Linked DNA regions of Lonchura striata. The protein of the gene in region 1 interacts with the protein of each later gene in a biochemical or structural test. Links are inferred from orthologs where the notes say so. Each region holds a gene or a part of one and is shown in the gene's direction. Other genes may lie near its edges.

What was found.
Region 2: the proteins of PATJ (region 1) and PKP4 interact in a test that uses a peptide from one of them, tested with the Homo sapiens proteins (2 studies listed by IntAct, with this or other methods). The link is inferred for Lonchura striata from reciprocal best matches to the Homo sapiens genes PATJ and PKP4.
Region 3: the proteins of PATJ (region 1) and CLDN1 form a complex in vitro, tested with the Homo sapiens proteins (2 studies listed by BioGRID and IntAct, with this or other methods). The link is inferred for Lonchura striata from reciprocal best matches to the Homo sapiens genes PATJ and CLDN1.
Region 4: the proteins of PATJ (region 1) and TANC1 interact in a test that uses a peptide from one of them, tested with the Homo sapiens proteins (2 studies listed by IntAct, with this or other methods). The link is inferred for Lonchura striata from reciprocal best matches to the Homo sapiens genes PATJ and TANC1.

What each region holds. Positions count from the first base shown.
Region 1 is NC_134611.1:6,614,812-6,622,149, reverse strand, and holds the start of PATJ (inaD-like protein), read left to right. Parts: upstream 1-4,013; 5' UTR 4,014-4,217; coding exon 4,218-4,239; intron 4,240-4,322; coding exon 4,323-4,489; intron 4,490-6,039; coding exon 6,040-6,222; intron 6,223-7,338.
Region 2 is NC_134610.1:626,980-634,791, reverse strand, and holds the start of PKP4 (plakophilin-4), read left to right. Parts: upstream 1-4,556; 5' UTR 4,557-4,641; intron 4,642-7,812. UniProt on the Homo sapiens protein: Plays a role as a regulator of Rho activity during cytokinesis. May play a role in junctional plaques.
Region 3 is NC_134612.1:16,566,390-16,574,687, forward strand, and holds the start of CLDN1 (claudin-1), read left to right. Parts: upstream 1-5,042; 5' UTR 5,043-5,133; coding exon 5,134-5,356; intron 5,357-8,298.
Region 4 is NC_134610.1:523,298-530,623, reverse strand, and holds the start of TANC1 (protein TANC1), read left to right. Parts: upstream 1-4,070; coding exon 4,071-4,188; intron 4,189-7,326. UniProt on the Homo sapiens protein: May be a scaffold component in the postsynaptic density.

The sequences.
Region 1 (7,338 bases):
AATTTTTCTCTAAAATTCAGTAAAATTCAGTAAAACTGAGCAAAACACGTATTAGAATAGTGTTTTTTACACTGTGGAGTCACTTGATGGTGTGTAAACAATAAAATTTTGGATATCTGAAGTTCAGCTGATGGCATGTTAGGACAATTTAGGATTAAGATCACACTAACAAATGCTGGTTTCCCCTGCTTTTGCTTTTATCAACTTTTAAACTGAAATTTTCCAAGTCAGAGGTCTCTGTGATGTGGAGGATGACATGCACTGTATTAGTCACTCATGATAACAGGGCCAGGAAAAATTCCAACTGCATTAGTGCAGAAAGGTGACTTTGGATCGGGATGAGCCCTTTGGCTGCTGAGGCTGGTTGTGTTAGAAGCCTTTGAGAAATAGCAGCAGTTAGTTAGGATTTTTGTGGGTTTTAATATCCCCAAAGGTTCCAGCCAGGCTGAGGGGGGAAGAACATCCCATAAGGCTGGACTTTTCCTGGAGGGATGCAGGAAAGGGTTGTTGGAGGCCAGGCTGAAGGACGTGGGGCAGAGGTGGTTGTGGATGGGTGGGGAAAACAGGCAGAAGAATCTCTGCTGGCTGAACCTCCAGCAGCAAAGCCCTTTGTGGAGTTTCCAGCATCCAGCAGCCCTTTGTGGAGGGTAGGTGTTTGTCAAGGCTGCTGGTGGGATGTTGGGATCTGGGATGTGCCAGGGCTGAGCGCTCCGTGTCCCCGTGCAAGTGACAGGGGGGTGATGGCAATGGAAGACTTAAACCTTTCAGCTCTTCTGATGACCCTCTGCTGGCACCAGCATGAAGGAATTCCTTTTTCCTTGTGCTGCTTTTGAAGAAGATCCAAGTCTTGGGTGGGATTTCATACAAAACCTTCGGAAGCTTTCCCACTCCCTCAGATGCGTTGAGTTCAGCTCTCAGAAGTGAAGACAGTGGAACCCCAGATGGATGCTGTCCTGGGGTTACAAAACACTCAACCTCCTGAAATACATCATTTTCTCGATGATTTTGTGGTTATGTTGGAAATTGTGACATAGATGTTGAACTGAGGTTTCCAGTAAGATAAATAAGCCTCCATAGGAGTTGGAGACTGGAGCTGGGAAGTGGAGTGCATGAACTGATTTTAACAGGACAAACCAAAGTGTTTTGGATCTTTCTTCAAAATTAACATCTAGGAATAGACTTTCTAATATATCAACTGTTTGCTGACACTCTGCCTGGACTTAGAGTGTGTTTGCAAAGTGTTTAATGATAAATTGTTTGGGCTCTTAAACATAGAGATCAATAATACATCGAGTTATGAGTTTCTCTGGTGCCCAAAAGCAGGTCTTAGAGATCTGTCCTCAATTATCCATTACTTGAAAACTCTAAATTAGCTTGTATTTTCAGGGATCCCTTCACACCAGAAGGAGCTGTTTGTTTTAATTCCCGCCCCCCAATCTATTATGGAAGAAAGGAGAATAAAGAAATACTGAGTATGGTTTTAGCACATTGCACAAAACAAACAAACAAACAAACAAAAAAAAAAACCTAAAAAAAATTGCAATCTGTCTGGAGGGCAGCTCTGATCACGAGGAACCCCAAAGTGCTGTGTAAACTTAACCTGTTATTCAACACCTGAGATCCACTTGGGCATCCACTGGCACAAGTGGCTCTTAGGGACACTTGGAGCAGCTCAAGCAAGAAGCTGAAACTTTGATTAAATTTTTTTTTCCTCCTGTTTTGTACCTCCTTCTCTGGGGAACTTCAGCTTCGATGGAGCCAAGATCTCTTACCTATAATTCTTCTCCTAAAATTTAAATCTCAAATTTTCTCGGGTATTGGATAATTGCTGTTGTTACACCCTCAGCAAAGGAAAAAAGATGAATTTTGGGGATTGTTAGCTCAACATGTGGATTGGGGATGGGCTCAGAGCTGACTGGCACAACGCTCACGCCACCAAAACATGAAGGATTCTTTCTGAGTGTTTAACTCCCTGTTCCAGCTCGCTATAGGATCAGCTGGATGGAAAGTGAAAAGGGAAGAATAAATGCATGAAAGAGGCCTGGGGAGCTGGACCAGCCTCTTTGCTTTGGCTCTTGGGTGGGCATGTTGCTGTCAGGTCGTCGTTATTTCCTGCCATGCTGGCTTTCTTCTCTGGGTTTAATCTTTTCCTCTCCCTACTGCTGGTTTAAAGGTGTTTCAAGCCACTTTTCCTCACTGGAGTTATTTTCCATCCCTTTCTCCTTTTGGTTCGCTCACTTTCCTCTTTTAACTGCTGATGAGAGGTAGAAAAACAGAGGAGGAAAGTGAATGGAGGGAAGCTAAACTGGGAAGAAAGAATATGGAAATTTGTTCTTTGTCCTGATTTGTTAAGGTTCGTGCCATATTTTCAGTTGAGGAGGTTAAGTTTTGTCTTCTGGGTTTAACGAAGGCTCAGGAGTGTGTAAGGAAATGATGTTTTCATCTGCTCTTCAGAATCAGCTCTCAGCACAGAATCAAAGGCTGCTGTGCTCTTTAGAAGTGTTTTACTTCGAATGGAAAAGAAAATAAAGCTGCAGCACTTCCAAAAGTGCAGATGCATTCCTGAAAATCTTTCAGGGGGGTTGTATGGCTTTGCTGCTTCAACTCTTGCTATGAGTTTGATATAAAATGACCTCCTAAATCTCCTAGGAGTCTTGCAAAGAGACTCATTCTGCCTGGCCCTGGAAACCACACAAACCCACTGAGCTCTGCAGGAATTCCTGCAGGAGCCAAAGCTGCTGGGATATGCACAGGAAAGGGTGCATAAATCTGAAATTGTGGTTTGTGACACTCCTCCATCCACTTCTTTTTTCCAATTAGGTAAACCAACTTAACCTGACTCTGCAGAAGAAGGAAAGCTACTCACCTGCATCATTAATATTTTGGTAAATATAACAGTGTCCTCCCAGAATTCCAGATGTTTTCAGTGTGAGCAGAGGCAGGGCTGAAAGGATCAGAGGTCCTGCTGGGAGAGAGCCCCTGGAATGTGCTTACCCTGGTGTCACGTTCACCACATGACCCTCGCTCCTCTTGAACTGCAAGACTAAAAAATAAATAAAAAGCTTTTATATAGAGAGAGGGATATGGCAAGTCTTGTTCCAAAATAATTCCAAATATATTATTCTGGAATTACACACTTATATACTGGATAGAATTAAAATTATGTAAATTGTGCTGTTAAATGGCTGACTTTTTTCAGAGGAGCTTGTACTAAGTGAAGGAAACTTGTTTGGTAGAGCTGCCTTGATAGATTTCAGAATGACAGGCTCCACATCAACTTAATAACATGAAAACAAGGGTACAAATTAATCATCTCTGCTAATTGCAAGTCTGTTGTTTTTATACTGCCATCTAGGCCTCGGCCCCTGTTGGAGACCTGTTCTGTTTGGCACTGTGGAGGAGCCTGATAAAGGATATTCCGCTCCTTAAAAGCTTAATAAAGGATATTTTGCTGTTCATGTATGTAGAAAAGAGAAAGGCAAACACCTGCAGGAGGCTTCCTTCACCTGTTGTAAATCAGGCTGTGGTTAGAACAGACCTTCCTCAGGAATGTGTTGGAACAGGGATTCATATGCCAAATTTTGGGCTTTAACTCTGTGCTGTCCCATGAGTGAACTTCACTGTTTTATGGGGAAACAGAGTTTCACCTATATTGCCATCCAGCTGGGCTGAACTATCAGGAATACTGTCTACAAATGATCAGGTGGAAAGTATCTTTAAATAATAGGTAGATTTCAGCTCTGTGTACATCTATGAAGATCCCAACTTTAATGTCAATATTCAAAATAATTTGGTTGAACATATCTGTCTCAGTTTTTCTTTTCAGTTTTTTCTCATAGCTTGCATTTTTATTCATATTTGGAATATCTGTTCATATTCCTTCCTGTGTGTGAAAGGAAAAGCACATGGAACAAGATAAAATTTTAGGATGTGCTGAGGCTATGTCGAGAGCTTTTTTAAATATTTGGGGTATTAAACACATAATACAGGGTATTAATATTAAATATATTTATACAGGTATATAACAGGGGTAGTAGTATTTTTTTATTAAATTTGTTGTAGTTAGCTTAGTATTCTTGCATTTATCAAATGTTACTCTTTAGTAACATAGTAACATAAATGATAGCTCTGTTTAGATCTATCATTAATTAATTTGATTTTCTTTTTTTTTTTAAAACTCAGGTTATTCTGATCAATTTCCAAAAAAAACCCTCAACATGCCCGAAAATCCAGCAGCAGGTACGTGGTCTGAAAATGATTCTTTGAATCATTTGAATGAGGAAAGAAGCTCCATTGCTAACCTGGACCCGTTTGTGGTGCAGATAAGCAGCAGGTGCTGCAGATCCTGGATCGGCTGCAGGCAAAGCTGCAGGAGAAAAGGGATTCCCAACACCAGGAAAACCTGACTGTCCTAAGGAACACCCTCAGGAGCCCCTTGTTCAACCAGATCCTGACTCTGCAGCAATCCATCAAGCAGCTGAAGGAGCAAGTGAGTGTAAAATTCCTGCTGTTGGTGTGGTGCTAACTCTGGGCGAGTGGAGCTTGGATCTGGATGTGTAGGCGTGTGTTAACGAGGGCGCTCTCGTTAATCAGTTCTAACGTGGTGTTAGTGAGTGTTGGGCCTTTTTTTCCTTCTGTGGTGTCTGCAGAGGCACTGCTGAAAAGAGAAGTGGTTCTGCAACCAAGAGGTCGTGGGGCAACGTGCTCTGAAAGGGATGCAGCACAGGCAGGGTTGTGTTGGAAAAGAACATCTGCAGAAGACATCAGCTCCGGTGTTTGGAGTCCTGAACAGTGCTGGAACTGGGATCCTTTGTTTTTCACCGAAGCTAAGTGCTGTTTATCAGCTCACTGGCAGCATTTTTTCCTCCCTAAAAGACAGCATCACTTAGTTCCTTCTAATTTTTACAAGAATGCTTAACCTGCTTTTGGCAAGTGAAGTGTAGAAAACCCAGCCTGAAGATTTGCCAAGCTCTGATGCAGCTGTACCCAAGCGAGTTTTAAAATGACTTGGCTTCAGCAGAGCTTGGAACTTCCGTGCTTTGGTTTATGAAGCCAAGTGACACTTGATTTTGTGGACATGGGCATGGACAGGTGCCACCCTGCAGCTGAGTTTCAGCAAACTGAAAACCAAGGAGTGACCAGCAGGGTGGGTGTCAGGGGGACAAGGCTGCCCCTTGCCAGGTGTATTGCAGGTGTTCCTGCCTGGCTGGCCTGGTGGTGGCTGTGCCATTCATTATCCCTCCTTCCCAAGCTCCACAGGTGCTGCATCCCTTCCTTCCAAGGCTTGGATGCATGTCTGCAGTCTGTTAGAAAAATGTATGAAAATGCAAATGTATCTAAGAAGTGACTGTGACATAGTGGGGTTTGTGTTTGGAATGTTCAGAATTCTCATATCTAGAAAATTTAGACTTTCTTGAAATTCTGTTTAAGCATGGGCAGCTTCTTTCAGGGTAGGATTTTCTAGTTTATTTTATCACACTGGGAATATTTTTCATTTCTTCATTATCAGTGAGGACTAGAAGTGCAAGTTCCAGCAGAGATAACATGTTCAGTGATAGTTTGTACCCTAGGCTCTCTTTGGGGACAGGATAATACAAACCAGGCCTCAGGCTCCTGAATGACTCAAAATATTTGAACTTTTGTACCAAAATTCTGTGTAGGTTTCCCTAAGAGTTGCAGCAGTGCTCTTTAGTGTTTGGTGCTTTTGCATGTGTTGTTTCTGGAATACCAGGGGGAAAAGAGGATAAGGGGCACGGGCAGGGGAGAAGCATGAAAGAAACAGAGGAAAATAAGTGGAGTAGAAACACAGCTGAATTATTGAAAGAACTCCTGAAAAACAGTTTAAATTTGATGTGGTAGCTTGGTTATAGATTATATATTAACGCTGCCTGACTTATACAGGTGAGTATATTTGTGTGAACTGGCATATGTGAACACAGTTTTTTTGCTCCTTTGGCAGCCTGCATATAAAATGGTATTTGTGGAAAACCCTTCTTTTGTTTTCAGTAGCTTTTCCACACCTTTGTTCATTTCCAACAGCTCAATTACATGCCTCCGGACCGCTCGGTGGATTTTGATTTTACCAAGAGGGGGCTGTTGGTGTTTGCTGACAAATCAGTCACTGCTGGGACACCTTGCTCTTCACCTGGACCCAGAGCATCAGCCTTCACTCCAAACCTGGCAGTTAATGAATTTAACATGATCATCCAGCAAATGGCAAAGGTAAGGCTCCAAGGTGTAGTGAACCAAACTGTTTTTCATTTTGGAGCATTTCACGCTGCTTTTTTTGCTGTGTGTCTGGAAGCGTGGTGCCTCCTAGCCAGGAGAGTAGAACTGTTGAGAACTTTTCCCTCTGGAAGATAATGTCAGCAATAGGAAGTGGCTTGGTGGCTTGTTTTGTTTCTTTAGCTTCCATTGCCAATTTTCTGTTTTACTTTCTACCAAACACACCAATGTAGTAAGGAAATTTCAGCTGCCAGAAAACATTTTTGGTATTTGATGACACTTAATTGAAAACGGACCTTTTCAGCAGAAAGTTGTTTTGATGGAAGCACTTGTTTATCAAGTACATTTTAAATTGGAAATGCACCAACTTTATGAACAGTGCAAAGCATTAAAAAAAAAAAAACTAGCATGCAATATTTTATTTAACTCTTTATTTAGTATTTCTTAACTTTGCCAGGCAGATGCAGATGTACCAGATTCCCTAAGAATTTGTACAGGTGCAGACATCTACCCGTGTGGGATTGGCATTTATACCACAAATGTATTGTTCTGTGTTATTTTGAACCATTAATTTAATTGCTTAGTCATGCCTTTCTATATTAAGTAACTGTTGCTAATTGACTACCTTAATGTAGCTGTAATATTTTGAGCATTACTTTTCTCATTAGTGTGTCATTAACTCATCAGAGATAAGATCTAGCAGTAAAGGCTGCACGTTATTTGGAATAAAAGAGCTGTGATAGCAGTGCATTTTCCCAGTAATATTTCCCAGTAAACAACCCCAGCAATTTTGTATTAGAACTGAAAAACAGGCAGTTGCAAAAGCAAACTTTTTTTAGCATTAAGTGTGAAGCTGCAGGGAGGGGGAGGAAATTAACTTCTTTATTTAAAAGCTGCAGCCTTTTGAATGCACACCTAAAAACCAGCATTAAAAGCAAGGGAGCCAAAAGACAAGTAATTTAGCTTAGCTATACAGCATTTCCAGAAATCCCAAATATATTGCTCTAGACAGCACTTCGTTCATAGTTTTCATCCAGTTTGGAATTCATCTCATAATGTGAATGAAGTGTGAAAGTAGTTCTTAAATTCCCTGAGGTTTCAGAACCTCAGAGT
Region 2 (7,812 bases), on another chromosome or scaffold:
AACTGCTGATGACCTTGCCTTTACTGGACATCTAAATCAGCATTTCCTGCCATCTTTTCTCCAAACCATTCTCTTGGCTGTTGCCAAGCTGCCTGCTTATTTCCTGGTGCTGCAGGATCCTGGAGGAACCCTGACTTACAGGTGGACACCTGATGAAACCCGATTTCATCATTAGCTGGCTTCAGCAGCACAGCTCACTTAAGGACATCCCTTCTCCTGCTGCCCCACACACAGCACCTTCACTCCTGGGACCATGCTGCCAGCTGAAACAGTATCCTGGGATAGGATTTGTGCAATTGCCAAGGAAAGGTCCCTGAGCTACACTGCAGGTCAGCAAGCTGCTGTTCCTCAAGCCTCTTCCATCCTGCTGAAACATGTATCCAGGGCAAAACCTTTCCCACTCCTGCCAAAAGAGGAGCCTGCACTCCTGCTGCACATGGCTGCTTGCACATTCCTTGGTCCAGGCACTATGGGCAGCAACGGTGTGCTCCGGAAAATGGATCCAGCTGAAAAATAAGGGCAAGTGTGCCAGGGAGGCTTCTGGGGAAGCTGGATCCATTCCATAACGCAGCTCCCTGCACTGTTGCAGGATCCTGGTGCTGGCACTGGAAAGCTGGAGAGAAGTATCATAACGGGCATTATTGTCCTTCCCTTGGCAGCTGGGCATGAGCCTGAGCACGAGGCTCTACAAGGAAGGCCGGTGGTCAAGCTGAGCATTGTGCACCATCTACAATCAGATACTCCTACTTGATGCTTCAGAGCCATGCAAGAAGAAAAGAAAGTGCAAACAACCGGCCAGTATCCAATAATTTTTCCTCAATATTTTGTTTTACCACAGGGAAAGAGTAATATCTATCCACAGCAGAGCAGTAATTTTGAATGGCACTGTCTGAAACAGAATGTTTCTATAAAAGCCTTGTGGTAAGTTTATAATGTGCTTACCACAAGCCCTCACTGAAAAAGCAAAATGCCAGCCCACCCCTTAACCCAGAAATACACCTGCTAGGTGCCTTACCTCCCCAGTTAAACAATAAAAAGCAGGAAAACATTTAGTGCTTTCTATACCAAATGAAACTACAGTTTCAAAATTACCCAAAATCAATTGTATTGCTGTGACATCAACACGATGGCTTGCAGTAACTTTTTTGAAATCAAATTGTAGGTTTTAATAAGATGCAAAAATCCCACATATCTAAGTAACTCCCCATATGAGCACTAAACAGCTGCTCATGTGTTGTGTTAGCCTGCCATGAGCATCACTCTTGTCGCCAGGTATTTTTTTTTTCCCAAACCTTCATAATTTCAGTATCTGGAAGAGATTAAAGTTAAAGCAGGTAGCATTAAATAGCTTCCAGCAGAAACCAAACCACAGCCCTCAGCCTCCCCCAAATAACCCCCCAAAACCAAACCAACCAAATTCACAACAACAAAACAAAAAGTAGAATAAATGAGAAAAACAAAACACAACACCCACCAAGAAAAATAGCAAACTGTTTTTGTGACTGATATTTATCACTAAAATTAAAAGATAGACATGTCAATGTTCTGCAAGGGCTGTAAGCATCTGTGGAATATATATAAAAAGCAAGACTCTGTTATGGATTGATTTCAGACTAGATTAAACAAAGCAGAAAAACATATTAATGACTGGAAACACTGAAGAAGCACAACAGCAGCAAAAACAGCTAGCAAGTATCTGTTAACAGCATTGCCATCTAAACCACAGGAAGATGAGCACAGTCAGTTTAAAGGGTCAGATTTAAGGCTCAAGAGAAACCATACAGTCCCAAAGGAAAGTATGAGACTAGGTTGCTATGAATTGTAAACATAGTGGAATGATGGCTTTCTAAATGAGAATGATACAGACCATCTTACTTGCAAGTTGCATCCAGAAGAAGATGAAAAGAAATAAAATTGACTTGTTTGTTGCCGATTTAAAAAATTATGTAAGAATTTAAACATATATTTGACAAAGGTCACTTTCAGCTAATGGATAAGGAATCAAAGAATCACCATCCAGGCAGCCCTTTGCTAGACATTTAACTGGACAGTTAAAATGGGGTGCCTTTCCATAGCCTATGTCATCCTTGTTGGACAGGACTGCTGCACTGGGACACACGGCAGTCAATTAGATAATGTATTGGCTGCTCAGGGTGCCAAAACAAACCAGCTAGGAGGCTATGACTAATACCAGACAGAATGAAACAGCTTTTCCTCACTGACAGTCATTCAGCATATTTCCAAATCTGACAGGACCTCAAAACATTACTTTCAATTCTTTCTACTTCTCTTGTGCCAAAACAAACTGACTCAAGATCCCTTTCTCCTTCCCAACAGCATTTCTTACCCTTTTCCAGCTCACCCCAATGGGGAACTCTAAAGCACAGCCAGAGCCTGCAATGCATGGCTGCGCAGGGATGCAGGGCACCTGGAGCAGCCTGTTCCTGGTCACCTGGAGCCACCAGAACCAGGAAGGCCTGGGGATGGCATTGTGCCACCTCCTGCATCCTGCCCACAGCGATGCCCAGGAACAGTTTCACTTGCTGAGGGGCAAGTAAGCTTCCTCCTTTCCCAAAAGCTGTTACCTGTGAAAGCCAAGCCAGCATAATAATACCCAAATTACATGTGAAAACCAGTTGAGACTGATTTGAAGCCAATTTAACTAATCCAGTACACCTTTGGTAGAAGCAACCTTACAGCTAAGGAAGGTCACAGCTCTCACACATCCTATGCTTTCTCTTCCCTTTATTCATGATCAAGTTAACTCACATTTTATCTTTTCTTTACTCCAGCTCTCCACTCTCATTTGACCCTTCCACCACTTATTTTATTTCACAACTGCTACTCTATTTTACTAAGTTTCTACTGTTATTTCCCTCAGCTCCTGTTTCCCATTTCCTAGACAGAGACCACCATTTTAGTTTCGTCATATTTTATATGCAGTTCACATGGTATAAACCATGAGATTTTTCAGAGCAGTGAGGACTCAAGACTCCTGGCTACAGCTGTCAAGTGTTTACTATGTGGATATCATCATAATGTAGGAGTTCCTATTGCATTATTCAACAGATAAATAATTATACAAATAGCAACAAAAACCTCAGAGATTAAATATCTTACCAATAGTTTCCATGTAGTATATTACATCCCAAGTGGGAAATTAAGAGAAGGGGCAGACGAGTTTAGAGGTGACTCTCATGTTCAGCTACCTCCTCCTTGTTACCTGCAGTTCCCTCCTAAGCAGAGGCTAACAAGGACATAATTCTAACTGCAGCATCAGCACAGCACCAATTAAACCACAACACGAGTTCATGTGTCCTCACGCCTAAAATAAAACTGTGGTTCACCCCACCAAACAGTAAACCGAAAAACTGAGCTGGATGGAAAACAGACACAAGTTACATGTGGATACCTTTTTCACGTTCCTTCACAGCAGGATTTCTACACCATCTGCATCTATACAACAGGGGAAGAGGGTGAATAAAACAACCTCTAGAGCCAGCAAGAGCTGCTGATTCAAGTGGCCGTTTGCTTTTGGCTCCTCTGAGCCATTTACAACACCGTCCCATGAAGTGGAGAGTGTCGATCGCTATCGTACCTGCAGGGCTGGAGGGTGGGAGGAGAGAATAAGTAAATGGAAAACCAGTCACACCTGGGCTACACCGGGGCGATCTGCTCGGGAGGCTGGAAGGAGAGGAATGGCCCCAGTCAGATTCCCGAGACACACCGAGATGGTAAGTCTAGGTCAGGTATGGGATGCAAAAAATTGATCAAGCATTTAACATGCCCAAAGCTTGTTATTGAAATGTTTTACGGCGATTTTAGGGATACTGGCTTTTCTTTTCGACGTCTATGATTCCTCACACGCCATCAAGAGAGTTCGGCTGCTATTGGAAGCTTAAAATGGTGGGAAATTAAAACACTATGGAAAGCGTTTCCCCATCGTCCCCAAACACCTGGAGTTAGCCCAGGTGTTCGAGCAGCGCCGCGGGCTGTGCGTTCTGCCGGTACCGCGACGCCGGTCACAGGAGCGGCAGGCGGGACGGGACCACGAGCGGCCGGCCAGTCCAAGCTCCCTGTCCAAGAAGGGCCATCCCGGTGACACAGGGTGACGGGCAGACGGGCCCGGCAAAGCCCCCGGAACTCCGGCTGCTCTTCTCTGCGCTCCTCCTTCGGCGGGACAGGAGGCGGCCGGCAGCGCGGGACAGGCACGCCCGGCCATCACGGGCACCCTGCACCGGTTGTGCTCCATCCATCCATCCACCCATCCGTCCATCCATCGCTCGGACACTCACCGCGAGGGCTCACGGCGGTGGGGCCACGGGCAGTCCTGGCGGAGCCGGCCCGGGTCTGTCCCGGCCCGGGTCCGTCCCGGCCCGTCCGCGCCGTCTCCCCCTCACGGCATCGGTAACCACGGCAACCTCAAGTCGCGCCACCATTGGCGGGTTTAACGCGGAGCAGCAGCCAATGGGGCGCCCCCCCGGGCCGCGCCTGGCCAATGGGGGCGGCCGCCGGGCCGGGCAGAGCGTGACGCGTTGCGCGGGCGGGGCGGGGCGGGCGGAGCGGGCGGCGGGGCCGCCACCATGGAGACCCCGGGGTAGGGCGGGCGCGCCCGGCGGGGCCGCGGGGCCGCTCCGCGCGGTGAGTGCGGGCACGGGGAGGCCGCGGGCCGGGGCCGCCGCGCGGGACAGGCGAGGGGCGGCGGGGCGCGGCGCGGGAGGCGAGGCAGGCGAGGCGGCGGACCCCGCCGGGGCATCGGGGCCGAAGAGCCGTCGTCTCGGGCGGACCCGCGGGCGGCGCGCCGCGCGCTCTCCGCGCCCGCGGGGCCGCCCGGAGCCCGGTGGAGCCGCCCGGAGGGGGCCCCGCGGGCGGAGGTGCCACCGCCCTGCCCCGGGCGCCGGGCGGGAGCGCGGAGCCCGGGCCCGCCGGTGCCCGCCGTGTGCGCGAGGTGTGCGCGGCGCCGCGCCCGGAGCTTCGAGCCCAGCGGAGCCGCAGCGGGCAGGGCCGCCGGGCCTCGCCGTGCCCGCAGCGCCGCACGGCCCCGGGCGCGGGGCCGGGCGGGGACACGGCGGGTGCTGCAGGGGATGGCGGGGTCGGCGGAGCGGGCGCGGGCAGCCGGCAGCGCCGGGCCCTGCGCTCCCGGTGTGCTCGTACGGGGCGGCCACGGGGCCCGGCGTCCGCGCCGGTGCTCCCCGGAGTCCCCGGCTCCGGCTGCTGCCCTGGTGTTCCCGGGGGTGCCTGACCCCCCTGCCGTCCCTGTGTTCCCTGCCCGGGACTTAAATCTGAATTTTTCACCCTTCGTGTGACCGCAGAACAAGCCGCGCTCCCGCTGCCGGGAGCCACGGAGCATCCTCGGCCCGCGCACCGGGAGCGCGGCTCTCGAGGCTGTAGGAACTTCTTGCGGTGTTTTCTCCCCCGTCTCCGGTCACACACGCGGGGTGGTCGCGGAGCAGCCCGTGCGGGGTGTGGGTGCGGGGGGACAGCCGTGGCCCGCGGGGACAGGTGGCCGTGCCGCCGGCTGGCCGTGCCTCGGGCGCGCTGCAGTGTGTGCGGGAGCAGAAAGTGCTCTGCAGGTGCCGGTTACCGAGTGCTAGTGCCGTGGCTTGGGCTGGGAGAGCTGGGAAATGAAGTCTTGCCGCAATAAAATAAATGCTGATGCTGAACCCAGGCTGTTTCAACACAGAAAAACTGGAGCTGATGACTCAAGCCCCCTCTAGTCCATTTCTCCTCCCGGCTGACGCTCAGGAGACATCGCCAGTGTTCACAAGCAGACAACTGAGTGTTTCTGAAGTGCCTCTGTTTGCCCCATAGACCTTTGTACTTTTTTTCCCCTAAACAGCCTCCCGCTCCCTGTTAATTTTACATTAGTCATTGCTTCCAGATTCGACTGTTTGAAGGAAGAGGTGTGGTTGGATTGAGAGCACTAGTGTTGCATGAACTGGCTTTTCAGTTTTTTCAGCATTGTCAATTTTTGATAAATTGGAGTTTAGTGATTAAGAGATGACAAAGATGATAATGTTTTCCCCTTAACTAATAACTGTATTTCTGAGGTCAACATAAAATAGTTTGTTCATTGCGATATATATATGGGAACCCACTAAATGTGCCTGTTTAGTTTATGAAGAGACAGTAATTCAGTCATGTTCATCGTATTCAAAGTGGAGGGAGTGTGTGTTGGGGGCAAAAGCTTTCTGTTGGCATTTATATCCTGTAATGTTTCTGTTAAACATTACAATGTTATATGTAAGTAAATGTAACCTTACTGCGGAAAGGTAGGTTGCAGTAACTTTCTTTTTCTGTTGAAATTGCTTATGAAGTTCTCTATTGCTGCTGAAATAAGATGCTATTAATATTTTTAATTTAAGGTAGAAAAGCTGATAGCCCCTTTCCTTTCCAGTAAAAACTATTTTTCCCTTTCATCTTGTCAGATATTCAGCACAAATAGCGGTACTGATACCAGAAGTTCTGCTTTGAAACACAGTTGGACAAAGTTTTGTGCAAGTCATCTTCTATGAGGGGAGATAATTAGTTCTAAATTTTCTTAGATCGTCAAAAGATAATGCCTTTTGGAGTTTGCATTTTTCAATAGTAATGCAGGATCCTTTTATAAAGAACAGTTAAATTCAGTCACACAGTGTAAACAAGGAAAGTTGTAGGATACATTGCCTTTTTATAGAAGCTTCTTGCAATAGCAAAACAGGGTCTGTAGTGCATTTTGAGGTATTTTTCATATTCGGTGATAGCATATACTATGTACAAATAATAGTAATCTTAATTAGTACTGTGTGTTTGCTGTTTAGTGTGGAAACCTACATGCACTGAGAAAAGACTCTGGAGAAAAGCTGCATTTTAAATGAACAGAAAACATAAATAAGTACTTCATGTACTTCTGCTTCACTTTATGTAGATTGTTTAAATACATTTAGTACAGATGAAGAGCAAAAGCAGTTCTGAATCTATGGGAAATTTTGTTATGTTTTTTTTTTTTTCTTAATTGTGGTGCTGAAAATAATCCAGTCCTGCAACATCTGGTTATTTGCTGCAGGAAAGTAGTGGCGAGTTCAGGGAGTTCAGTGAGCTTAACAGTAGACTAGTTTGGTTTAGTACCAGGGTAATATACTTAGTATCAGGTTTAGTACTTAGTGTAACGTGGTACAGGAAAACCCCCTAGAAAAGCAAGCAGAACTTGTGATACTTGCCTGGAAAAGCAGAGTAGTGAGCCTGTTAGTGGCCATAGTCTGTGTTGCTCTCAGTTGCTTTTCTGTCATGCTCAGTCACATCAGTGAGTCTGGGTGGGTTTCGTGGAGGTGATGCGGATGAGCAGCTGCGCTCTTTTGTTTTTGGGTGCTCATGGCGTGGAAGAGCAGGGCAGGGTCTGGGAGCAGGGAGCGTTCCTGGTGGGCTGCCATGGGCTGGGACCCTGCTCCAGGAGCGCGTGTGTGGAGCCTGGCCCTCTGCGTGTGCGGAGCCTGGCCCTCTGCGTGTGAGGAGCCTGGCCCTCTGCGTGTGAGGAGCCTGCCCCTCTGCGTGTGCGGAGCCTGGCCCTCTGCGTGTGAGGAGCCTGGCCCTCTGCGTGTGCGGAGCCTGGCCCATTGCGTGTGAGGAGCCAGCCCCTCTGCGTGTGAGGAGCCTGCCGCTCTGCGTGTGCGGAGCCTGGCCCATTGCGTGTGAGGAGCCTGGCCCATTGCGTGTGAGGAGCCTGCCGCTCTGCGTGTGCGGAGCCTGGCCCTCTGCGTGTGAGGAGCCTGGCCCATTGCGTGTGAGGAGCCTGCCGCTCTGCGTGTGCGGAGCCTGGCCCATTGCGTGTGAGGA
Region 3 (8,298 bases), on another chromosome or scaffold:
TGGTTTTGGTGCTGTTCACTGCCCTCTGGTTTATGGGCAATGGGAGTAATTTGAAGAAAGTCTTCTCCAAGTTTTTTTGTAAAACTTTGTACTGGATGGCAGCCCTGCAGGAGTGAGCAGCAGATGAAGGGTTAAGCTTTCCTTGTGCTGTTGCTCTCTCCAGCCCTGAAAGCTGTGATCTTTGGCTGCTTTAGCTGCCACCATGGTCAAACACAGTCTGCTTCTCACTGCAGACAAGGCTGGACACAATCCTGACTAATCCCAGCGAAGATTTGCAGAGGTCTTAGATCCTCCTGACATCTGGGCAAAGACATCTGGGCGCTGCCTGCAAAACAGAGCTTGGAGCTAAGGTTCAGCAGGGGTGTTTCTGCTGGACAGATGGAGGAGTAAGTGGGAGAGAGAGAGAAGAAAAAGCAGCCTACAGATAAACAACGAAGTCTTTTTAAAGTTTTTATAGACAATGTAAACCTGAGCTAAGCACATGTGGTCGTACCAGCCTGCCCTTTTCCTCCAGGACCTTGGGGACTTCAAATGAAACAGCAAGTCACAGAGTTCAAAAGAAACAAGGTGTTGCACTTTTCCTGTGAAGTACAGAGTAAATCTGCAAAAATCCTTCCTGCAGAATGCTGCAAGTGCCAGAAGTTTAAAAAACCAAACAGCTGAATTTATGAAAGGAGAATCGAGTGAACAAAATTAAAGACAAAAGTACTGGCACCGCCTCAAGATTTATTCAGACATGGATCAGAGTGGGCTATAACACATTTTGGGGAAGGGTCACTGTTCTTGCATAATTTCCTGGCTCTACAACCAGCTGCCACCAGAAACATGGGCTGGAGTGCTGCTGTCTGGCCATTCCCACATCCCACAGGTTGTGAAGCTTGTGCCTTCACTCTGAGACCAGAGTAATGCAGCTGTGCCTGCTCTGCACACCTGCTGCTCTGTGCACCTGCCCATACTCATAATGACTTACAATCAGATGTTTACCCTTATACACGAGTTTCAGCTCAAGGATGAATTCAGGAGAGTCTGGGCAAGCTTTAGTGTATGCAAGGACAGAGAAGCACAGGTGAGCCTGTGCTTCCCAAACACAGGCAAGCACCGTGAGACCTTCCCCGAGAAATGTCTGAGAGAAGGAAACCAGGCTGCTCAACCTGCAAGTCCTGGCAAGTGTTAAAGCTTGTTTTTGCCAGAAAAGGAAACAGGTATCGTTTACTACCCACAGAGCTGAGATCTCTGCTGAGTACAGCTCTGACTCACACCCCCTAAGGGAGAACATGACCAAGGTGTTGAGCATTTGGCCGGTGCAGGCAGGGCTGTGGCACACAAGGGCAATCTCTCTGAACAATTAGAGGAGTCTCTCTACCTGCAGACAGAAATAACCCAGTTTGATTTCAGGGATTGTCTGTACACACGCCTCTTCTCACTTGGTCATGCTATTGTAAAGGACAAAAATTCAACTTGCATGTTTACTTTAAGAGCAGGACAATCACTAAACACTGTCACTAAGGGAGTACCTTTAGCCTAAAGAATACAGAGGAGATTGCAACATCTTGGATAAACTCAGGTCTTTCAGCCAAGATTAATGGTCTGAAGGAATGGCATTTCCCAAAATCAGGTATAAAAACTAGGTGAAAATAGAGTGAAAAGTCTGTGGGATTTCCAATGGAAAAAAACCCAAAAGAATCTCAGGAAGAGAAGGAAAGACAGCGATTATGAATAAAAAGAAGTTTTATTTTGCCCATTGAGACAGAGTCAAAAATCATCCAAGAAAAGAAATCAGATTTTCATGACTCAAATAAAGGAAGGAAGTTCAGAAGAGGAGCCTAGGTTCTCTCAGGGATACTGTAAAATCCTCTGCAAATTCCAGAGCACTGAGAACATTGATGACTGATGAAGGGGAAAAGTGGAGTTTCAGTGTTTATCTTGCTATGTAAATTCCTTGTGATGATTCCACAGAAATAGTTTCTGGGTTTTGAAATCTTTCATGAAACATGAATAGAAAGTATCAACCTTAAATTGTCCCTAGAAAGCAAAATACAAATTGGGTGTTCATGAGGCTGGCATTGTGCATGAGGGGACTGCGTAAACTCTGTGTACAGATTGTCAGGGATGTTCAGTGGTCAAAAAAGCACTGACAACTTGTGCTGCAGCCCATGAGGGCTGTAGAAGGTCTGAGAGCACATGGACATGTGTCCTGATTGCCTTTCAATGGCTTTGTTTGACCCAAGGCCACTCTGTCACCCAGTAGCACTGCCCAGTGCAGCACCATAAGGGACAGAGGAGCAATGGGATGGCTGCACAGCCCCTCAGGAGCACAGCATCCATCTCCAGGCAGGTGTAGGCTGCAATTCCACAGTAATCCTCACAGAATATTGCTGTCTCCAGTTTCAGTTCCATGTCCTTCTGGAAGGGGAAGACTCTGAGCACAAACGCTGTCCTACGTATGAGCAAGCAGTCAGACTCACACTGCAGACAGCTTTGGCACAAACCATCCCCAGAATGCCACCAGGATAAATTCTAAGATAAATCCTAAGCCAAATTTTCCCAAGGACACAGTGGCCATGAATTTCAGTCCATCCAAGAGCTAGCAGCATGGTCAGGGTGCAGCAACATGCATCACATGTTGGTTGCATGCATTTCCCCAAGATCAGTCTTGATGTGCCTCCCAGTGCCAGTGCAATCAGATCATTGGTACCCAGGACTCCTCCCTGTACTTTCCTAGAAGGTTCAGTATAAAGTCCAAGACCTTCCCATACAGAATGGTTCTGTTCCCCCTCCTGGCTGCTCAGAGCCTGCAGACAAAAGAATCTAAACCTTCTAAAAGTGTCTCGGTAACTTTTAACCCTGTCCAGAGCTGACCTTGCACCTTGCAGGAGTCAGTGAGGAGCTGCCCAATCTGTCCGGGTAGGGGCTGGCAGGAGGGCTGGGAAAGGGATGAGTTCAGTGCTCTGAAGCACCAGGAACACTGCACATTCCTTTGGAATGGACACTGTTGGACTGAAACAATTACGTAGATGCCAATGGTCAAATCCAGACACTCCTAACTCCGCTCTCCTCAGGTCCACATGAGTTTCTGCCCTGCCTCTTTACCAGGCAAGGAATGGTTCCTGCCAGGAATCAGCTCCAACAGCCAGCACCATGCTGGTTTCCCTGCTCCCTGTATCAGAGTTCTTCATGAATACACAGATAAACTAAGCTACTTTGTTATTTCTGCATTGCCAAAGAAAACTTTGTTGCTTTCTTCTTCTTCACTCCCAGAAGTATAAAACTGTGGTCCACAGAGACACAGGAAAACACCATTTATTCATGTGCAGAATCACAGTTCCTTAATCCTTCAAAAGTCAAAAAAAAAATATAAAAATAAAGACATAATTGGAAAAGTTTGCTACCAGGCAACTGGGGTGGATTTTATCACACCAGCATTGCTGCCTGGACACGGAGACCTGCAGCCACAAGTGTTTTCAGAGCAAACCAGCCTTGCTTTGTCTCTGGCCGGTGGAGCAAGATTGCAGTGGCTTTTCTCCCCTTTGACCCCCCTGACATTGCACAGGACAGGTCAGGTAATCACGAGTCTGTTTGTTTGTCCGTTTGCAAATCTCAGGAAGCAGCTCCAGCAAAATCTCCTAAGTCATCAGAATGCAGCAAAGCACGGTGTCAAAACAATGCAACCCCATCCCTACCTCCAGCAGGACCTTTATCGGGAATTATCACCTGTTTATCTCAGAGTTTGGGATTACAGCAGGTCCAGGCTGAAGGACCCCTCCATCCAGCCTGTGGTGAGGGCGGGCAGCACCACCCAGCCCACGCTGTGACCTCTGAAGGAGACATCATTTCCTCACTTTGCTTGCTATGAGTCCAGATGCGTCAATATTCAAATATTCGTGCAGGAGAAAGGGGAACTACAGTAACTGGGCAAACACACACCCAAGACAGAGGACACTCCTTCCTGGTCTGTAATCCCCTGGTTCAATAAGCCTTATTGAGCCGGCAAATCACTGAAGTGAAATTTCTCCCAGTAATGCAGAGGTGTACTGTCCTTATTAAAATGGTAGGTTCAAAAGTTTGGATTTGTTCGTGGATGATGAGTGTTTGCACAGCTGCCTCTCTGAAAGCCCTTCAAAATCAGAGCACTCATAATTCCCGTGGCTGCTCTACCTCCTGCTCTGTAGCTGGTTATCCCACGTGTGCTGCTTGTCCAGGAGGCAGGCAGCGAATCTGCCGGGGGAAATGCCCCCCTGCCTTGCCCGCGGCACGGAGCGGGGCTGGGGAAGGGGGTCACACAGAGCAGGGACAGGTGGAACCGGCACGGCCCTGTCCCCACTCCCCTGCCCGCTGTGCTGGCGCCGGGAGAGACGGAGAGCCAAGCTTGCAACGCCAGCCTGTGAAGGACAGCAGCGGGCTGCCAGTCCAAGGAAGGCGAGTGGGGCTCTCAGCTCGAGGAGGGGGCAACCAGGGCACCCTGTCGAGGTGCCAAAACACCCCGGGGTGCCAACGCAGCCCGCCCCGTGGGGGGACAGAAGGGATCATTGCTCCTTAGGGAGGGGCGGTGCGGGACGGCGAGGGAAGGAAGGAGGGAGGGAAGGAAAGAGGGAAGGAGGGAGGGAAAGAGGGAAGGAAGGAGGGAGGGAGGGAGGGAGGGAAAGAGGGAAGGAAGGAGGGAAGCAGGGAGGGAAGGAAGGAGGGAAGCAGGGAAGGAAGGAAGGAGGGAAGCAGGGAAGGAAGGAGGGAAGGAAGGAGGGAAGGAAGGAGGGGAGCAGGAAGGGAAGGAAGGAGGGAAGAAGGGTAGGAAGGAGGGAGAGAAGGAGGGAGGGAAGGAGGGGAGCAGGGAGGGAAGGAGGGAGGGAAGAAGGGTAGGAAGGAGGGAAGGAGGGGAGCAGGGAGGGAAGGAGGGTAGGAAGGAGGGAAGGAGGGAGGGAAGGAGGGTAGGAAGGAGAGCAGGGGTCGCTGCCGGGCGCGGCCGGGGCTGCGCGGCCCCCGCGGGGCGGGGCCGGGGCGCGGCCGGCAGGGGGCGCGCTCGGCGCGGGCTCAAGAGGCGCGCGGGGCGGCGCGCGGGCGGCAGAGCCGCGCGGGGCAGAGCGGCGCGCGCCCTCCCTCCCTCCCTCCGTGCCTCCCTCAGCGCCCCCGGCCGCAGCCATGGCCAGCGGAGGCCTGCAGCTCCTGGGCTTCGTCATGGCCTTCCTCGGCTGGATCGGCATCATCATCAGCACCGCCATGCCCCAGTGGAAGATGGCATCCTACGCGGGGGACAACATCGTCACGGCCCAGGCGCTCTACGAGGGGCTGTGGATGTCGTGCGCCATGCAGAGCACGGGGCAGATCCAGTGCAAGGTGTACGACTCGCTGCTCAAGCTGGAGGGTAAGCTGGGGCTGGGGGCGGTGAGGGTGCCGGGGTGTCCGTCCCGTCGGGGCCGTCCCCTCCGCCTCTCGCTCCGGCCGGGCGGAGGGCACTGCTCCCGCACGGCCACTGCCCCGCGCCGGGTCGGTCCCGTCCAAGTTCAGGATGAAATATTTGGACTGGGTTTGCCAGTCCTGTTGCACGTCCAGTGTCCTGTCGCCGTCGTCCGTGTGGTCTGCCCCGCCCGGGTGCCTGTCGCGCTGGGGATGCCGCTGCTGTCGGCTCTCACGGGCTCTGTCCCGCTGAATTTACTCAGCCTGCCCCTTCAGGGCTGAAGGTGCAGGGCTCGGGGTCCCCCATCTCTTGACTCCTCATCCTGTCGGGGTCGGGTGCGTGTCTCTTGGGGCTCCCCGCCGGAGCTCGGGTCGCTCCCCGCTGTCCTGCGGGGCGCCCTCGGCACAGCCGCCCCGGGAGGGGAGCGGGGCCGCTGCAGGGCACTGCCCGGGCAGGACCCGAGCTGCCCCGCATCGCCCTGCCCGCTGATTCTCTACGTGCGGTCCGGAAAGCGCCGTGTTTGCGAGAGCTTTTGGCTGTGGGGGTCCAGCCAGGGACTGGGCTGCCCAGCTGGGCACGGCTGAGCGGCAGCAGAGCTCAGCAGCCTGGCTGGCGTGGGCTTTTGGAGCACGGCTCCTGTTTGCCTTTGACTGTTTTGGTTTTTGTTCTCTGGGAAAGTCCTCCCGTGGGGCTTTTAAACTGAGGGCTCGCAGGTGAGCTGGCGTCCTGCCCAGGTAGCGCTGTCTGGAGTTTTTAGGCAGGCTGGTATGCCAAGATAATATTTGGGTCTTTTATCTTGTCATTCGGGTGCTCAAGCCGAGCTGGAGCCTCAGAGAGGGCACCCAAAGGGGTTAAAACAAATGTACTACTTTCTCAATACCCCTTGTCTCATCTCGAGTCCTGGTACACCCTCGTCCCTCCCTAATTAATAAAATAATAATTGCCACCTTGGTCACCTTCTCTTTCCCAAAAGAATGAGCAGGCAGTTTCACGTAAACCGAGGTCCGCGGGGAGTGTCCCCGAGTCCGGCTGCCACCAGCCCTTCCTGTGTGTCAGCGGTGAAGCCGGACCCACCTTCGCGGCCAGCCCAGTCCGTCGCTCCCGGTCCCTGCCCGAGCTCCGCAGCTGGCGGAGGTGCGGTCGCTCCCTCGGGGAGCGCTGCGCACCCGCTCGGCACTCGCGGGGTGCGGGGCTGCGCTGATCGGGGCAGTCCGGAGTGCTTGGGGTGCTAATTATGCGTCAGCTCAGCTTCAATCCTCTTATCTCCCACTGCGGGTGGGGGGCGAGGATGCCAGCAGTGGCTGAGGAATCTCCATCCACCCCCTGGATGGCTTGCGAAAGGTATCCTTGCCTCGGGGGTTGTGTGCAGCCCATTGTGCTGTAAATGGAGTCCGCCTTGAACAGGATCCCCAAAACCTGCCCCAGGCCCTCCTGACCTGGCCATTCATGGCCGAGGCCGAAACCAGCTGCTCCCCTCACCTTTGTCCTGCGAACAATACGGGCTCTTCTCTTCCAGGGCTACAGGGGAGGGAGGTGACAGGGACCCAGGCTGAGCTTGTGGTGGTGGCCTTTTCTGTTCTCGCCACCGAGCTCTGCAGAACAGTATGACTGAGAATTCTCAAATAACAGGGTATGTTTATCCTCACAGGGAAAATCGGTGAGGGCTGGCAAAAGGGCTCCTTGTTCTTGTGTTCCCTCAGCTTGCTTAGGCTGTGCCTTGCCCGCTTTTAGGCAGATCATGCCTGGGGACATACAGCTTATCTTTTGTTTTCCCTCCTGATGTCCCTCCTGCAGTTACATAGGCCTGGGTAGGGACCAGCAGTGTTGATTTGGGTGGAGGTGCCAAAAAAACCCCAAACCAAAAAAAAACCCCAAATCACTTATACCCAATTCAACAGCCAAACACTGGGACAGGTGCAGTGGAGAGCTCCCTTACTGTATTCATCCATGTCCTGGTGGAAGTGGCACAGCTGTGTGGGTAGAACTTCTGCCTAGCCATGCTTTCCTGCCAGGGCTTCATATGCCCCAGGTGCTCTGGGCCGCATGTCAGAGCCGTATGCACTGATGGGAAAGGCTCAGATCTGTAATTACTTTGTCCCTGTAGAAAGGACTGAGCCTTCTTGCACCTGCAGTAACTCGTGTTTGTGGGAATGCTGGAAGGCTCTGCCAGCAAGTTTTGGAACATCTGGTGGCTGTTGCCATTCCTCTGGATGTGTCAGTGTTTGGCTGCAAGGCAGAGATGGGGTTGGCATAAGCTGATGAGCACCATTAGCCAACCAAGAGGGCTCCAGCTTCCCATGTGGGCACCCTGCTGGAGTGCACCCGTGCTGGCACTCCTCCCGCAGCTGTGTTCAGCTGAGGGCTTATGTCACTGCTCCTATTCAGGCAACAGAAAGGCTGCGTTTTGCTGGCTTACGTGAAAAGCAGTGCGTGGCCACACGCAGACATAGAGGCAACAAATGCCACCCTTGCAACGAGGCTTTGTTGCACAGCCTCAGCATTGTTCTTGTGGCCCTCCAGCATGGTCCATGGAGCTTAGCCCAGCTTTGTGCTCCTCGGGGTCTCAGGGGGATGGTCTCAGACAGGAGGGAGTAGGGCTTCTGGTACCTGTCACTGAAAGTTTCCAGCCCCACCTAAACACATTCTCCTGTTCAGGAGAGATGTTGTTCTGGATCCTGTCTAGGCTGTTTTAGCAGAAGATACTCATCGACCTGTTTGATTTTGCTGGGAGAGGTTCTGTGCCTGAGACAAGCTGAGACTCATCTATCACTTCATCACCAAACCTAGTACATCCACAATGAGCCTTTGTGCCCTAGCCCGGAAAATAAACAAGGTTTTGAATGCCCTCTGGGTCAAGCAACATGGCTGAAATGTGAAGTCTTCCCTCCTATACCTTTACCACCCGGGCT
Region 4 (7,326 bases), on another chromosome or scaffold:
TAGTGGGTCTGGCTAAATATAGCATATTGGAAACATTATATATGCCACTTCTTACTTGGCTGTAGGGACAAAGGGTCAGAGACAGACCTCTCCAGTGTATGCTTTATCATTTTTGCTCATGCATTTGAATCATCATAACGCATATATCTCACTGGAAATTGTACCTTAAAAGTAAAACTACTATTCTCTTACAATGTCTGTTAATTCATGAATTAGTAGTCCCATATCCGGGGATACATACTCTGTTTATTACAAAATGCTAGATATTGATGGCCCAAAATGTAGTAATTTTTACTTACTGTCTTGATTTGTTGCATCAGTAATACTTTGCTCCTTTAAGTATTGCATTTTGCTGTATATTCCTCTTGTTTGAAATCTGGGCTTTAAATTTGCCAGAAAAGGGAAATGTTGGAACTTTTCTGTGTGACACATAGAACAACACTCTGAATGTGTTTGTAGGCAGTGAAAGCGGTTCTGACGAATTGAAGTTTTCTTTCAATGCTTAGGATTTTGGGATTCAAATTTTTGAATCTTTGGATTCAAAAATGCAAAATACACTTTAAAAAAATACAGATTATTTGGAAGTATGTGTTTAATAAATTCCACACTGAAAGGTGGCAAATACTTAAGTACTTCTGTGCAGACAGTAGACTAAGGTGTTCTACCCTGTATTTCTTTGCAAATGAATGCTGACTGGTTTTCAGGATCTAGATCTGGAAGCTTGAACACAGCTGTGGGTAGTACTGTAAGGAGTGTAAATGTCAGGAGTTCATGGGCATTAGCTCAGGTGCTTACCTGCCATGTGGGATTAGTTTATTTGACCTCTGCAGTTGTGATGAGCTCCTGTTGGTAGATCTTTGAAAATAACCCTCTCCAAAAGGTGAGGGAGGTACAAGAGCTGTGAATCATCTTGTTCCTGATGTTGTTGTCTTCAGTGGTAGTTTTACATGGAACACATTCCCATGCAAGAAAGTTGCTGAGTTTTAAGGAGAGGTTTGCAGGCAGAGTGAAAATGTGGAGAGATTTTTCCATCTCTGCTTTTCAGAGGAGGGATTCCTCAGGTAATGAAGTACTTATAAAGGTTGATACATGAACTGTTTTGTGTGCCTGTGGTCCTGACTTTTTCATTACCTAAAATTTGTGTTTTACCAAGCTGACAGTGTTTTGGAGTTGTTCATAAAGAAGCTGATCATTATAAATTCTCAAATCAAGGGACTTTCTGCCCTTTCCCTTCATGCTCTGAGCAGGAAGCATGTATGGAATGTCTTCTGCATCTAAAGAAAACAGTTGAACTGGTGGGAGCACAGCATCCATTTGAAAATGGTCTGGACAAAGCTGGGAGTCCGCCTTTGTCAGCAGCTGACAGGGTCTTCAACAAGCAGAGGAGTTCTGTTGGGACATTATTATTAGCACTCTGGGATAACAAGTCCACATCTAATACCCATTTTAAAATGGGAATTATAGTTTTAAAATTATTAAAAAAACCCAACAAACACCAAAAAAGTGGCTTCATGGCAGAATTTAAATATTGGAATTAAGAAAACATGAACTGCAGTTGTTTACCAAAGTGAAGCAATTGGAGTAGCTGAAAGGGCTCCTGAAGTCTGAGTCAGGGAGTTTTTCTACTTCATCTTAGCTGTGAGGGGAGAGAAAGTGCAATATGCTTAGAAAGACAGTGTGCCAGCATTACTGTAAAATATCCTATTAATACAGTTATCTTTAAAACAGAACAAGATTTACTATCTTGTGCCTGATTCAAGGGATGAGAAATTATAAATGCACACTATTGCAGTTCACTTTAATTGGTGTTATTGAGGTGTGAACTATGGGTATGAAGAAATACTGAAACTGAAATGCTTTTGGATGTATGTCAATAAGCATCGCAGTAGGCACAAATAACTTTGGTATATATATATATATTTTTTTTTTTTTTTTAAGTAACACTAAAGTATTTCTAAGCTGTAATCATTGGTTCATTCTCTGTGTTCACCTGCATGCTCTGGAATGCAAATGATGTTTTACTGGACCCCAGGTGGTGGTTTTAGCATTACTTCAGAAGATAGTTTATTTTTTTTTTATTTTTTTTATACCTTTCAACTTGCAAACAAAGAGCTGCTATTGCTTTGCTGTTGCAGCCCTTAGGGTTAGCTCTCTCTGTGTGCATAACTCACACAGCAAAAGGTGAGTTGCTTTGGAGGTACTTATCTTTATTTTGGCATTTCCTTTTATAGGGGAAAAGGAAGGAAGTGGGCTTTATTTCCAGGTAGTAGGCACTTTTCATATCCACACTGAATGTGGTCTGAATAAGCAACCATCTTGCATGCCAGTTGTGTTCTGTGTTAGATCAGTGGAGAACTCTGCACAGTAGGGAAATTGGCCTCAATTCCAAAAAAGAGAAAATCTGGGATGGAATTGTCCTTGATTCCTTTTATTTGGTCTCTCATTAACCCTTATCTATATTCTAAGAATAGGAATGACATATACTGTAGAGTTTCAGTTCTATATGGAGCCTGTCTGTCCTGGTTAATAGAAAATTCACTCCTGATTTGCAAAATAAGAAAGTTAAATATAATATGTGACTTTTCAGGTCTTCCTTTTTTTTTTCTTCCCCCTGCCACTCTATTCTAGCTATGTATCTGAAATACCTTTCTTAGATTCTGAAATTCATTAACACTTTTAGGTCCTACCGTTGCATAATGCAGGCTTTCTAACATGGCAGTTGGTTTTTGTATGGTTATTTTGATACATTTATTTTGCTTTGTATCCAATTAGTAATCAAAAATTATTTCCTTTTAGTGTATTTCATTTTTTGTTTAGATGATCCAGTTTTGGGCGTGTGTTTGTGAGCTTTTTCAATTTTCTTGATGCTGAAATTGGAGAGGGCTGATGAATTCCCATCCTTGGGGAAAAGCAGCTGGAGATGTTGCAGAGCCTGCTGGCCCTGGCAGCGTGCGGGATGGAGGTGTCTGTGCCCGTGGGTGGCCCTGCCTGCATGGGGACAGCCCGTGTGTGCCCGGCTGTTACCTGTGCGAAGCTGGTGGAGAGCAAGCCGGGCCCTGGAAACCTTCCAGGCTTCTGGGCGTTGTTAGTTCCGTATGCTTCAGGTTATTCATAGGAGCTGAACAATTCTATTGTACTGGTTTCTCTTTCTCTGTTTTATTTCATCAAATGAAGAGAAATTTCTGAGGAATCCACAGTTTTTGGATGGAAGATTTTTGCTTTTCCTTTTGATTTCATGTGGTGTTCATGGCAGTCAGTTACATAAGACAGCATAGTCAGGTTACTTTTTTCCCCCCCTTCTTGTTGCACATTCCGTACTGAAAGTTTTCTCTAAATGAGATACCTTTTGATTTTTTCAATAGAGAAAACAAATGAAATCACAATTCTCAGATGCTCCCAGAAAGCATTTTGAGAAAGAAGTGATCTTCATAATTCCTTCCATTCTGTTTTCCTTGCTCTGTAACTGGAGTTACTTCTGTGAAAGAACTGTTTTTCAGGTTTATCAGCCCAAATACATTTTTCTTATACTTCTTACTTCTCTGAAATCTGCAGCTGTTGCTCACTTGAGGTTGACTGTTAAGAGTGCCATGTGGCAGGCAGAAAGCGTTGTGGGGATGGAGGAGTTTGTTCCTCAGTTCCCTTGTGTGCTGTGTGTGGGCACAGGTGGGGGTGGTACCCTGTCCTGCTGTTATCCCTGCTGTACAGTCTTGCAGTTGGCATTCCCAGCTGATGTCAGCCTGCTCCCGTTACTGCCAGTCAGGCTGCTGAACTCCAGTCAGAAGTTAGAGCTTGATTTTAGTTTATTTTGCTGGAGTGTCCTACCGCAGCTTACTCAGGTTTAGCCCTGTAACTGCAAGTGGATGTGGAATGTGGAGAATGCTGCATTATTTTTCTGTATCAGAAGACAGCAAACTCTTAGTTGCTTAGTTCAAGTATTGAAGCGTTTCTTGTGTTTCACTACTTTGTTCAACCAAGTGACACTGTAAGAAATAAATGTGACTACCAAAAGGTCTCTCATAATTACCTCGTTTTTTTTGTATTGATCCTGTTCTTTATTTTGACTTGTGTGAATGGACATTGCATTTATTTTTCTTTCTCTCTGTTACTCTCCAGGAGCAACATTTAAAATGTTAAAGGCCGTTCTAAAAAAGAGCCGAGAGGGTGGCAAGGGGACCAAGAAAGAGTCAGGTATGAATATTATTGCAATGTTTTATACCCCAGGTGAGTTGGGCACTGCAAACCCAGGACTGTCCATCCTCTGGTGCAGCAGTGCCCATCCCAGGGGCATCTTCTTGTCTGCTGCCCCAGCTGCTGCCTGGGGAGCAGGAGCTGCAGGTCTGCACCTGCCTGGAAGGTGGCTCCAGTGCATTTATTGCTGCATGTCCAGCAGGCAGCAGGGGGAGAGCAGTTGGTTGTGCTTGTTGCCCTAGAGACACTGAGAGCAGGCTGTGTGTGCTGTGCTGCCAGCTCCTACCCAGCCTGGAGCCAGGCCTCCCGACCACAGAAATGCACTTTAAACTGCTTATTTGTTGTGTTACAAAAAAACTCAACACTGGTTATGTATTATGGGCAATAGAATTTTTATTATGTATGTCTTTTGAAAAAAAAAAATTATTGAATTTGTGAAAATATTATTTAGCTGGCTATCAGGTTTCTATTATGTTCTGGTTTTTGCTTTAACTACAGAGATTTTTGGAAGATAAAAGTAATCATTATCAAAATAAAACTTATTTTACTATTAACCATATATTTAGTAGGCCACTACTTACCTGCATTGCCTTCCAGGAAGAACGGTAACAGAGCTGTCGTTGCCATTTTCAAGGGCAGAGAAGGCCCAGCAGTGCTTGCTGAGGAGAAGCAGTAGCTGTAGATGTGCAGGTATTGGTGATTGGGATAAACCTGCCTGCTCTGTGCCAGGCGTGCTGAAGTCTTTGCTGCAGTGGCTGGAAAGCTCTTGGACTTGAGTGAAAGTGACCTGGTTTTCAGAGTTACATTTTTAACTTCAGACTTTTGATGTAGTCTAACATTTCTGATTTTCTGATAGAGTTTGATCCTGAATTATACATTGGAGTAAATTTATACTCTTTGGCAACATGAACTTCTTACTCCCAGAGTGCAATACAAATAAATCCAAATACGTCTTAAATGTATAAAATTGGATCCTTTAAAACAACACAATGCTGTTTTTTTGGAAAGCAAGTTACATACATGTCTTGCATTGCAGCTTTTAAAACTATGCAGTTACACTGAGTCCGGCAAGGGGAGGGTATTTTCACTGTTATTTTCCAAAAACTGGTTCTGAGTTCATCTGGCAGGTAATGTGGTGTTCTTCAGGAAATTTCTGTGGTCTTGTGAAGTTTTCACTCTGTCACAGTTCCTTTCTAAATGACTGAATGATGGGAGCTATGTTGATTAGAAGAAACATTGACACTAGATCGGAGATGCACAGAAATAATCACAGAGCAACACGAAAGGCATCCTGTTAATTTTGTGTGTGCTGCTGACTTGAAGTTACCAGCTGGGGCTGTTTAAACAGAGTGGGCTAAAGATTCCTGTGGTGAGGCTTTCACTGGTACATTTTTTTGTTAAAGTACTAGTTGGAAGTTGGTTTTGACTCAAAAAGAAAATTGGGCTGTTTGGAATGGAGCTCTGACCAGGCTTTGATTAAAATCTGAAGCTTGGAAAAAACCTTTTCTTGTAGGTTGGAAAGCATGGCTTTTTATTTTGGATCTTATGACATCTGTCTGTATTAATGTGTTGAAAGGAAGATTTTTCTATGTTTTTGCAAATATAATGCTGCTGTATTTCTGAGCAGCACAAGAAGAGTTAGAGTGTGGGACGTTTTTTGGTTTAATTTTTGGTTTGGTAGGTTTGTTTATTTGTTTGGGGTTTTTTGTTGTTTTTTTAAGCAGAGCTCTAGAGTGTCATTAATTAGATGTTATGGATACCAAATATTGGGAAAAATTGGTGAATAGTGCCTGACTGGTGAGAGGTAGAGCAAGGAGGAGTTCAGGAGCAGCTTTTTAAAAGGAAGTAAATAACTGATACATTGGATTTCAGAGATTTTGGGGTTTTTTTTTGTATTTGAAGATGTGAAAAGTATGAAGAGAGATGTGTGCATTTTATTCTGTTCTGTGTTATGCCAGGTCTTCCTGTAAAGTTATGTCCAGGTTATTAGCTTTCTCTGTTGTTCCAAAGGACATTCCAATTCTTCCAGCTGTAAGACATTTCTCTACTTTTAGAAAAGATGTGAAGCAAGGCAAAGAACATTGGTCTTTGTAGAGCTTATTTTTGCTCACTCATCTCCCTGGTCTTAAAACTGAAAACAGGGAGAAACTGAAGGGTTTTTTTGATTGTAGAGTTTTCCCACTTCATGGCTGTTTGGATATGGAATAGCAACAACAGCTTAAAATTTCCTGCTCTCTGAAGAGAGTAGAAATGCACCCCAGCGATGGCCATTCTTCAAACTGCTGTTGGAGAGAGGATTGCAGTAGTAAATGTTGATGCTTCTCTCAGCTCTGTGGGCACATGGGCTTGATTTCTTGCTTATGAAGTTTTGAAAAAATTTTTCAGAGCTTCTGAATGTGGGAGGATGGAGACAGTGCATCTCAGTAGGGCCACCTTGAACACATCTGGGAAGACTGCATGGTCTTTTTTCAGTATACTCATGGCTTAGGGGTGATGCTGAGGAGCTAGAAGGTAGTAAAATCTCCATGGGTCATAGTGGGCAACCCAGCCAGCGTAGGAAGGACACCAGGGTGATGAGTTGCAGCTATGCCTTTACCACATGTGACCATTTGAAGTCAAATTGGAAGGAGTTTATGCTAAACGCTAAGAGATCATTCTTAAACTGAAGTAACCCCAGTTGTCCCATGGGTTGCACGAAAGGAACGCCTGGAAGTCTGCGTAATTTAGATCTGAGTGGGATGATTCCTGTTTTACTGAATAGAACTTCCTGTTTGTGTGTTAACTCTCTTTTATGGGTTTTACAGCTGGTAGGCTTGTGGAACTAGTGCGAGTAGGAATGGTGGTGTTTTTTTCTGGATTGGTGGCAGGCACAGCTGTAATATTAAAAAGTGCAAAAGGGTTAAAGGACAAAAAGAAATAACTCTAACTTTTTTAACAGTAGCTTATGTGGATTTTAATATTAGAATTTCTCATTTGTCCTGACATAAGGGATTAAGAACTGAAGCTGTAACATTTTTGAAATCTAGCTGCTGGGAATGTTGATTGCAGGTTTTAATGGCTTCTTAAATTCAGGGTTATCTTGAAAAAGAAGGTTGCAGGAACTAGTATTGATACTTTGAGAGAGAGACTGAAGTGCTC